Stegostoma tigrinum: one gene and its partner. The main gene of each other region encodes a partner of the protein of the gene in region 2 in a complex. Links are inferred from orthologs where the notes say so. Each region holds a gene or a part of one and is shown on either strand. Other genes may lie near its edges.

Region 1 (5,667 bases), on a different chromosome or scaffold from region 2:
ATGTTCTACTGTTTTCTCAAATGTTCCTCGCAAGTATGATTGTGGGAATCTGCCAGTTGTTTAATTTAATATAAACATTGCAATTAGGACAATTCTGCAACAACAATTGTATTTATGTAGCACCTTTAATAGAGTAAGACGCTTCACATGAATGCTATCAAACAGAATTTGACACTGGCCACGGAAGGAAATATGAAGAAGGCTGACCAAAAGAGGTCAGTTTTAAGTAGCTTCTGAAAGTGAGGCAGACATGTTTAAAGAGGGATGTCTGAAGATGAGAGTGGAGACAGTTTCAGGCCGAGCCACAAGTGCTGGAGTGGAGAAAATCAGGGAATGCGTGATAGACCAGAACTGCTGGTGAACAGTGATCTCTGCTGATTGCAGAGCTGGAAGAGGTCACAAAGATGGTTAGGGGACAAGGGGAGTGTCAACTTTTTTAATGCTAGAGAAACATGCACAACTTTGGCTTTAAAGCAATTGTTCCAAATTGCGAGACACATTCAGATGATTGTAGGCTATGGCAAATTTACAAAGCACCATAAGTTCACCGAATAGGATTAGAAAGGGCAGACGCAGGAAAGATATTTCTGAGGCCAGGAGTCTTCAGAACCAGGGGTCACAGACTAAGCTTAGGGGGTAAACCATTTAGGACTGAGATGAGAAGAATTTTTTTCCACCCAGAGAGTGGTGAGTCTGTGGAATTTGCTAGCATAGAGAGCAGTCAAGTCCAAAACATTGTGTGATTTCAGGAAGGAGTTAGCCATAACACTAGGGTCTAAAGGATTAAAGGATATGGAGGAAAAGCAGGAACACACTATTGAGTTGAATGTGAAGCTGGATGAACACAGCAGGCCAAGCAGCATCTCAGGAGCATAAATGCTGATGTTTCGGGCCTAGACCCTTCATCAGACTTTATTATCTTGAATTCTCCAGCATCTGCAGTTCCCATTATCACTGAGTTGAATGATCAGCTTTGATCATCTTAAATGGTGGAGCAGGTGCAGAGGGCCAAGTGGCCTATTCTTCTTGCAAAGTGCAAAAACTCCCAGTATTCCACATTATATTCCATGCAAGATGGATACAAAATTAGCCAAGTGCCGGGAAACAAGCAGCAAGAGTGTAGTCATTTTTCAGAATGAAGGAAGAAGAAAGAGGTCCTCAAGTGTCGATATTAGGGTCCCTGTTCTTCATCATAGCCAAAACACTGGTGTAAATTAGAAAAACTGCAGATAAGGTAAAATTCGGAAATAATGTGAACTAACAAAAATTATGTAAAACACCCCATAGGATATTGACGAAATGAATCGACAAGTGATAGAAAATTAATTAATGCAGAGAAATGTGAAGTGATTCATTTTAGTAGGAAAAATAAAAAGAGACAAGTGTCTAAAATTTCCATTGGTCAGGAAATCACCAGAGCCACGCAGACTGTGGTGGCACATTTAAGATAGTTGTGTGCTGGGACTATGCAAAATTCTACATGCAGCTGATGCCATGCAAATTGCTTGGGAAATTGAATTCTGGACAATGAGCAAATCCCCGGCATCTGGAACACTCCAAAAAGATTCATTAAAAAAAGTCAAGAGATTCAAAGGCTTACAACTCACTTAGGTTTAACAGTCATGCAGGAAAAGTCAAGACGATTAAAAATATAGTCTAACCTTTTGGATTACTATTAAACAGACTCCCTCCCATACACCTCCCTACCGATCCCTTATGACTAACCCTTCACCAGACCACCACATCCTGATTCACCATCCCACAACATTTCCTGTTGCCCATCCACCAACTAGCCAAAGCACCTGATGGCTTACATGGGCACCCTATCTAGCTGGTACAATAACCCTGCACTTACCTTACTGTTACGCCTTCACAGCAGCTATCAAAATAGTATGGTTTCCAACACCTACTCTCTTCACTGCTGGATTCATGAATTCCTAGACTGGCTAGTTACAAGAAATCCCTGTCAAGGAAACTCCAGGACAAGAGACGCAAAATCACAATGTACAGAACAGGCTCTTCGGCTCATCAAGTCTGCACACTAAAAATATACCATAACCTACACTAGTCCAAGCATGGATCCAAATATTTTTTAAAGGTTGTGAGGTTTCCTGCTTCAACTACACTCGCAGGCACTGCTTTCCAGACCCCCACCATACTCTAGCTGAAAATGTTTTTCCTCAAACCTACACTAAACCTCCTGCCTTTCATTTTAAAATTATTTTCCCTCATTACTGACCCTTCAAATAAGTGGAACATCTGCTTTCTATTCGCCCTGTCCATGCCCTTAATAAGCTTATACACCTCTATCAGGTCTTCACTCAACCTTCTCCGATCCAAAGAAAAAAAGCCAAGCTCATCCTGCCTTTCTTTGTAGCTGAATGCTCCATGCTAGGTAACACTTTGGTGAATCTCCTTTGCACCCCCTCCAGTGCAATCACATCCTTCCTACAGTGTGGTCACCACAACTGCACATAGTACTTCAGCTGTGGCCTTACAAAAAAAACCATATAAGCTCCAGCAATGGCCCCATGTTCTTATAAACTATGCCATGACTGATAAAGGTAAGAGTCCCCTATGCCTTAACTACACAAATAACCTGTCCTAAACCTTCAGGGATCTGTGGACAGGCATCACAAAATCCCTCTTTTCCTCTATGTTTCCTAGTGTCTTCTCATTCATCTAAAGCTTAGTTGGTAATTTTAATCTAATCAGGTGTGGAAGTAGAGTTTCTGACCATAATGGAATAGTTATGCCAATATAAACAAAAAGATACAATTCCTAACAGAGTGCAAATGGAGAGAGATCAGGGTATATATGTGATAACCATTCAAGGTGGAAGAACAGGTGAAGAGCTTGGTAATAAAGCATATGATTCTTAGGCATTTATTGATAGAGGCAAACAGTATAAGAGCAAGGAAACAATGTTAAACACATAGTCATGGTTCAGTCATAACTAGAGTACTTATCCAGTTCTAGGCAGCATACTTTAGGAAGGACATAGAGGTTTGACAGGATGCAGAAAAGATCACAAGAATCCTTCCAGGGTTGTAAAACTTCAGTTACAAGATTAATTGGAGACATTGAGACTAATTTCCTTGAAGAGAGGCAATTGGATATAGGTACTAAAGACCACAAGGTATTTCAACAGAGTAGATACGGAGAAAAACTTCTAATTGGTGTAAAGATCAAAAACTAGAGGCACAGATTTTGGTTACGAGACAAAACGTGCAAGAAGAAGAAATCTTTCTTGCAGCGAATCATGCAGATCTGGAATGCACTGACTGCATGTGTAGTTTGATTGATCTTTTAAATGGGAATAGAATCATTTCTCAAAAAGGATCATCTTTGCAGGATTACAGGAGAAGGTGACAAATTTTCAGGTGAACTGCCCCCTCAGATGATTTGCAAAGACTAATGACTGAACGGTTTCCATCAATGTTGAAACCATTCTATGATTCTAGGTGTCTTATTTAATTCTGATTTTTATTCTTGGGAACACTGATAACACCTTTGAGGTGGAGGGTTCAAGTAAGACCGGGCAATTTACTGTCTCAATTCCGGTCATGCACATTTGGATGAATCCTGGCACTAAATCCAGTATGTGTACATAATCTATCCAATATCACTCTTAAAAAGATGTTAAGCTCTCCCAATATCCTGACCAACATTTACACCCCTCAACCATCAAAAGCTCAGCTTATCATTGAAATGTTTTGTTTTGTAGGAATTTCTAGAGCAGAAGTTGGTAGCTGCGATTCCTATACGAAGCCTACCCTTGCGATATACGTACTGTGCTTCGCAGGGGAAATTCAAGCCTCCCCCAGTAGGTTTGATTATTGGATGCATTAAACACACATTCGCTCATTTTAAATCAGGCCCAAACGCAAGTCGCTTAACTCTCAACTGGAATAAAGCAGCTTATAGTGGTTCGGTGAACAGTACACAGTGTAGACACTACAAATGGATCACTGATTTAAGAGATAAATAAACCCAGGCGGCTCCCAGGCAGGTTTACACACACAGGGGCTCTCCATCCACCCACGGAATACTCAGGCTCTGCAGCAGCTAAGTCCCGCAGACAGGCCCTAGTTTCTTCTCTTACCCCAGGTTCAGCTCCGTTCCATCTCCTTCAATATCCACATCCACTTCCTCCGCCATATTGCACCACCAACGTCATTTCCGACACCTGCTGCCCCCTGTCGGATGTCAGCAGCAGCGCCTGATACACATTCACTCTCTCCTGTATCAGAGACAGGAGGAACTGTCGATGCTGGAGAATCTGAGATAACAAGGTGTAGAGCTGGATGAACACAGCAAGCCAAGCAGCATCATAGGAGCAGGAAGGCTGACGTTTCGGGCCTAGACCCTTCATCAGAAATGCTGCTTGGCCTGCTGTGTTCATCCAGCTCTACATCTGGTATGTTCACTTTTGGAACAGGAGTGTTGTTAAAAGGGCGAGTTCACCGTGAAGTTATCCAAAAAAAAATCAACAATTGTATCATTGAGCTTACTTTATAGCTGTGGCAAAGTGTACGTCTTGATTAATCTGAGAAAATCTTCGTATATCACTATTAATAACGCTACCAAAAAGACGAAGTGAAAATAATATGAACTTCATAAGAACAACTTCGAGTCCAAATCAAAATCATGCTGAGAATCATCACAATGAGAACATGAAGCAAAATTAGACAATCAGAAGAAAATCCATGAACGAAAAGGAGGAATTAAATGGAACCTGTGTTAAGATCAGTGGAGATGAGTCATATCAAATTCATCACAATCCTCTGCCATTTAGGCAGGGTTTAAACTGATCTGAACGAGTCAAATACAACAGTAAAAAGATTTTTGTTAGAGGTTGTTGTATTAGCACAAGTAGAATGTCATTTTAGCAGTAGCACTAGATGGCGATGATTTTCACATGATTCATTCTTGATGCTTTTGGATATAGAAAATAAAGTATTTGAAATAAGAGCACCTTTATTTCTGATTTAAATTCATACCAACTATGAGAATTGGAAGAATTTGTATTTCAACGATTATACAATGCAACAAATATACAAATTGCTCTACATACAATGCACAACACCAATAAAAATAAATTTTGAAAATATAGCATCTACACACATTCAGCAATTACAGTATTTCAGACAAAATATTACATGGAACAATTAATGTGAATCAGCTGTTATTTGTTACTTATTTATCTTCATCTGAAGAATAGCAAGATAGTCCCAGAATTCCAGAGCTTTTCATCTGTGAACTAGTTTCTTGAGAAACTACTGATGTCTTGAATGTATGTTTTTTTCCTTCATTGCTTTGCAGCTCTGCAGTGGTTCCACAGGAAGATGATGTTTGTAAGTTTGGTAGGTGAGTGAAAAGAATTTTGCTCATATGATGTGAGCCTTCTCCCAATGTATTTTGTGTGTTTGAGGCCATAGAAAACCTTGGTGGAATTCTAACAGGATTAAACATAAGGGGCTGGTCCTGAAAACTGGAATTAACCATGCAGAAGTCATCATTGACACCAAGTGGTGTCTGTTGATTGAGGAAGTTCTTTTCCCTTTCTTCAACAGGTTTCCCATCACAGTCATCCTCCTGGTTGTCAGCTTCAGTATTGTTTAAAACAGGAATGCATATTTGTTTCAAACTGTGCAACCCAGCTGC
Region 2 (5,667 bases):
TAATAAGATCTCCCCTCATTCTTCTGAATTCCAATGAGTATAATCCCAGCGTACTCAGTCTCTCCTCATAATCCAACCCTCCCAACTCTGGAATCAATCGAATGAACCTCCTTTGCGCCCCCTCCAGTGCTAGCATATCTCTTCTCAAGTAAGGGGACCAAAACTGCACACAGTACTCCAAGTGTGGCCTCACCAGGTCCCAATACAGCTGCAGCATAGCCTCCCTGTTTTTAAACTTCATCCCTCGAGCAATGGCAGACAAAATTCCATTTGCCTTTTTAATCACCTGCTGCACCTGCAATCCTACTTTTAGTGATTCATGCACAAGGACACCCAAGTCCCTTTGCACAGCAGCGTACTGCAATTTTTACCCTTTAAAGCATGGCCCATTTTGCTGTTAGTCCTTTGTACCCCATCTGCACATCTCCACTCGCAGACCACCCATATCCCTCCACAGACTTTCAGTGTCTTCTGCACACTTTGCTCTACCACTCACCTTAGTGTCATCTGCAAATTTTGACACACCGCACTTAGTCCCCAACTCCAAATCATCTATGTAAATTGTAAACAATTGCGGCCCCAACACTGATCCCTGAAGCACACCACTAGCCACTGACCACCAAACAGAAAAACACACATTTACCCCTACTCTTTGCTTTCTACTGGTCAACCAATTCTCTACCCATGCCAATACATTACCTGTAAGACCGTGCAACTTTATCTTATGTTCCTCTGAGATGGACAAAAATTGTACTTTTTTAGTTAATTTAAACAATTTCACTGTAACAGTATAATGCAAACAAATCTACCAAATCTTACTGTAGACACAAAATACCTTCATTTTAACACTAATTCTAGCATGCATAACCAAACAATTTAATCCCATACTTATTTATCAGGTTCTTTTGAATTTGGGAGGTTTTGGCAAAGATCTCAAGTGCTAGACATGTTACAAATCAGATATTCAACATTTGCAACTATGAACCTCCGACAATGTTGGGTTCCATTTCCACATTTCATCATGGCCTGAAAGTTGTGTATTTTTAGACGACAAGATACAGAAGCAGAATTAGGCCATTTGGGCCATTGACTCTATTCCACTATGCAATCTGGCTGATGTGTCTCAATCCTTTCTTACCTTTTCTCTGTAACACTTGATCTTCTGAGTAATCAAGAACCATCTGTCTTAAATACACTCGGGTAGCCTGACCTCCAAAGGCTCATGTGGCAATGAGTTCCTCAGGTTCGCCACCCTTAAGAAATTCTGCCTCATCTCAGTTTGAAGATCCTCCCTTCACTCTAAGGCTGTGCGTCCCTGTCTCTCCTACACCTTCGTTCTATCCAGGCCTCAGTGTTCTACAAGTTTCAAATTAAATCCTCCTTTGTCCTTCTACACCCCATCAAGTACAGAACCAAAGTTGCCAACCGCTCTTCATGTGACAAGGCATTCACTCCTGGATCATTCTTGTAAACCTCCTCTGGACCATTTCCAACAATAGCATGTCCTTCCCTAGATACAGGGCACAAAACTACTCAATATTCCAAATGTAGTCTTATTCAGCCTCAGCATTACATCTCTCTTCTTGTATTCCAGCTCTCCTGAAATAAATACTGATACTATATTTGCCTTCCTGACTGCCAACTGAACCTACATGTTAGCCTTAAGAAAATCCTGAACTAGGACTCCCAAGTCTCTGTGCTTCAGATAGCCAAAACATTTCCTCCCTCAAATAGAAAGTAGTCCATGCCTCTGCTATTCCTATCAAAATGGATAATCTGACACTTTCCCACATTGTATTGCATCTGCCACTTCTTTACCCACTCTCCTAACTCGTCCAAGTCCTTCTGCAATCTTCCCACTTCCTCAGTGCCACTGTTGCTCAACTACTTTTGTGTAATTGCAAGTTTAACAACGATGTCCTTGGTTTATTCACCCAAATCATTAATGCACAACATGAATCGTTGGGATCCAAACAATTACCCCTGCGAACCCCCACTACTTACTCACTGCCATCTTGAAAAGGACTACTTTACTCCTATGCTCTGCCTTTGATCAGTCAGCCAATCCTCTACCCATGCCAGTAACTTGCCCCTAACACCATGGGTTCTTAACTTATTTAGCAGTCTCCTGTGAATCATCTTATCAAGAGTGTTCTGGAAATCCAAATATACCACCAGCTCTCCTTTTTCTAATTTGCTCGTTACCTCCTTAAAGAATTCTAACATTTGTCAGACATGATCCCCTCTGGATAAAACCAGGCTGTTTTTACCATGCATTTCTATTAATCTGCAATCTCATCATTAACAATGGTCTGTAAAATCTCACTAACAATCAAGTTCAGGCTAACCAATCTATAATTTCCTGTCTTCTATCTCCTTCCCTTCTTAAACAGGGGTGTTACATTAGCCATTTTCCAGTCCTGTGGCACCCCCTGACTTCAGTGATTTCTGAAAGATCACCAGTGTCTCCACAATCTCCAGATACCATCTCTATATGTCTGGGATGTAGTCTATCTGGTCCAAGTGATTTCTCCATTTTCTTTTTGAAAAGAACTACATAATTAAAATCTTTATAAAAAAGAGGAGTTAGCCTAAGCTAAACCAGATACACATGCATGCAGTTAAGTTCCACTTGAAAGACACTGATTTAAACAACGTCTCAAACAACAGTCCTCTGAAACAACTATGTAGGTAACAATTTCCTACTGTACTTAAAAAATGTCGTGATTTTTTACTAATTCAGTTTTCATTCGTTGCACTGAAACAAAAACTATGCTTGAAACGCTAAGTTTCAAACAAAGACAAATGCTAGTTACGAATATGTAAAATCTCAGGTAGGTTGGGTGCAGATTCTGACAGACTAGGTAACAAAAAGAAAGCCCACTTCTCAGCGAATTATCAAAACTTCGTTTGAAACATTTCACTATAAAGCGATTTCCCCCGAAGTTTTTGTTAAAACGGAAGCCCGTCACTTTGGGGAGAAGGGAAAACAAATGTTGCTGCCAAATTTAAAAATCCTTTGCGACCCTGGCAGAGATAATTTGTCCGGACAGGAAGTTTTTCAACAACAACAACGGGAAATTTATCTTTCACAGCCTCAGAAGATCTTTAAAATCAAACTGGAACGAAGATTATGGGGAAGTCAAGGCGGGCGATGAACATTTCCCACAAAAGCCAGACTCCGGCCTTTAACAGATGCAAACTTCATCAAGAGACAATTTTTAAAAAATCTATCACTTCTAGTGAATCAAATCAGATAAATCTGGCGCTATTAATTTACAAATTAATCGCAGTTCTGGCTATGAACAAGTTCAATTCAGCACAAAAGGCGGCCACATAGAGTCTCCACCGACCATTTCAGCCCAGGGAGGCTTCTCATCTAATCGTTTTAAGACACAGACTGGAATCAATCTTACCAAAACTGACGAAAAGTAGGCGAATCGTATTTTCTGAAAATCTATTGGTATGATTTCCTATCGACTCCGATTACTGCAGACCCCCCGATTCAAAGCCCGAACGCCAGCAAGCAGCCTGCGGCCGCTCTCAACTACACATTTAAAAAGTGCGCTTCCGCGAACATCATCCAATCAGAACAGGCCAATGCCACCTCGCGTCTTTCCGATTGGTTAGTGACCGTTTGATGCGTGGTGTTTGCCGGGAGTGTTGGTACAGTGGCTGTGACGAGAGGAAGGTCTGAGGTGTAACGGTGGCCATGGCGATGAGGGAATAGTTCCCGGATGTAGGGTGTTTCTATTTCCATGTTTTGTGTGTGTTTCAGAGCAAAGAAAATGGCTTCAAAGTTAAATCTTATAATGTGGGAATTAGGCTTTAAAAGTCGAGAGTCTAATCTCGTTTTTAATATCTTTTAAATTTATAGAATACAATTTAATGTATTCTTCATGTTTTTGATGGGACCTCAGCAGTAAATGTGGGTTGACTTCTTCAACAAAGGGAGGATTTGTATTAAATTCAGGGATGTAGGTAGTAGACAAGTGAACATTGGTTACAAAGGTAAAACATGTCACGTACGGACATAACCAGAAGGTAAAGAACATTTGTACAACAATTTTAACGTAGGAAACATTTCCACACTTTTTTGAGGTATGATCAAACAAAAGTGAACACGTAGCAAAAGAGGGATATGTTATGAGTAGGAAGTCAGACACTTCTTCAAGAGAAGATGAGAAAACTATGAAGTAGGGGCCTGGTAGAACATAACTGTTGTAATTCAGTCAGATCTTTGTAATGATATGTACTGTCTTGAAGCTTGCAATTTCAAAATTGCAACGTTGAACTCCATTTAGGATCCTGACGTCCAACTTTGGGAGCCCAAGACTAAAGGATAATCAAGGCCTTGAAATGATTTAAACACGTTTGTAAGATTTGTGTTTTATTCTTTTATGGGATCTAATGTTTCTGGTAAGACCAATTTATATTTGAGATAGTGGCCATGAGCTACCTTTTTGAATTGCTGTTGGCTGTCTGGAGTAGTAATAAGTGTGGTGCTGTAGGACACTAGTTCCAGGATTTTGATGCAGTGACAAAAAAACTACAACATAGCTGCAAGTCAGGGATGGTGTTTGTCTTGGAGGGGAACTTGCAGGCAGTAGCCAGCCCTGTCTTCAGTGCTAGTCTTTATACGTTGAAGTTTTAGTTTGAGTCGGTATGGTCAAAGGAGTTACTGTGCTACATTTATGCAGATGGTGCAAACTTGTCAATGTACATCAGTGGTAAAGGGAGCGAATGTTGAAGATGGTGGATAAGTTGCATTCAAGAAGATTACTTTGTCCTGAATAGGGCTGAGCTTTGTGATTGTTGGAGCTGTACACATCCAGGTGAGTGGAGAGTATTCCTGGTTTGTGCCTTGTAAATTTTAGACAAGCTTGGAAGTGAATTGCACACTGCAGAATCTGACACTTTCCCACTTTATATGGTTGGTTCATTTTCTGGTCATTGATAACCCTGTAAGATGTTGACTTTGGGGGATTCAACAATGATAATGCTGTTGACTGTGAAAAATTATCTGCCTTGTTGGAAATGTCCATTGCTTGCTACCTGTGTCATGTGAGTGCTTTCCTTCTTAGTCAGGCCAACTTGATGGTTCTGGTCATGGGTGCTGAGATGGCAGAAAAAGTCCAATGTGTGAAATGCAGAGTCTGCCACATGCAGAGTAGTAGCTGTTTGTTGGTTTCTGTAATCTCTCCAATGCCTCAACTTCACTTTTGCATGTTTCTGAGAAAGTTCCCATGCCTTTTCAAATGAATCTTCTCTGTTTTTATTCGGTTTTTTAACTCTTCATGGATATTTTAAGGACATGGTTTAAGCATTTCTATTGTCCTCCTGGAAGTCGCCTGCTTTCAATGAAGGGTTATGGTGATAAGGCAGGAAATTGGAGTTGAGGACTGTCAGGTCAGTCATGATCTCTTTGAATGGCAAAGCAGACTGAGTGGGCCACATAAACTACTGCAGCTAGTTTTGGTGGTCCAGTATCAAGCATGTACGTGTGTGAACGACATGTCATGCCCTATTGCCAGTGCTTCAATACTAAGCAGTCTGCTTTGGACAGGACTCTGCTTTCATTTGCTTTTCTGACCACTAGATATATAGGGTATACATTGTGAATGCTCTTTGTCACTTATTAGCCCGACCTGTCTGTTCTCCATCTTT

Evidence for each region. Proteins that work in one complex are often made in the same cells at the same time.
Region 1: kif11 (region 2) and mysm1 share a complex: the UniProt entries of both Homo sapiens proteins name them as parts of the large chromatin remodeling complex. The link is inferred for Stegostoma tigrinum from reciprocal best matches to the Homo sapiens genes KIF11 and MYSM1.

What each region holds. Positions count from the first base shown.
Region 1 is NC_081361.1:56,202,093-56,207,759, forward strand, and holds the start of mysm1 (histone H2A deubiquitinase MYSM1), read right to left. Parts: upstream 4,214-5,667; 5' UTR 4,162-4,213; coding exon 4,106-4,161; intron 1-4,105. Other genes in the region: uncharacterized protein si:dkey-86e18.1, read right to left, coding at 5,200-5,663. UniProt on the Homo sapiens protein: Metalloprotease with deubiquitinase activity that plays important regulator roles in hematopoietic stem cell function, blood cell production and immune response.
Region 2 is NC_081373.1:41,823,488-41,829,154, reverse strand, and holds the start of kif11 (kinesin-like protein KIF11), read right to left. Parts: upstream 3,541-5,667; 5' UTR 3,417-3,540; intron 1-3,416. UniProt on the Homo sapiens protein: Motor protein required for establishing a bipolar spindle and thus contributing to chromosome congression during mitosis. Required in non-mitotic cells for transport of secretory proteins from the Golgi complex to the cell surface.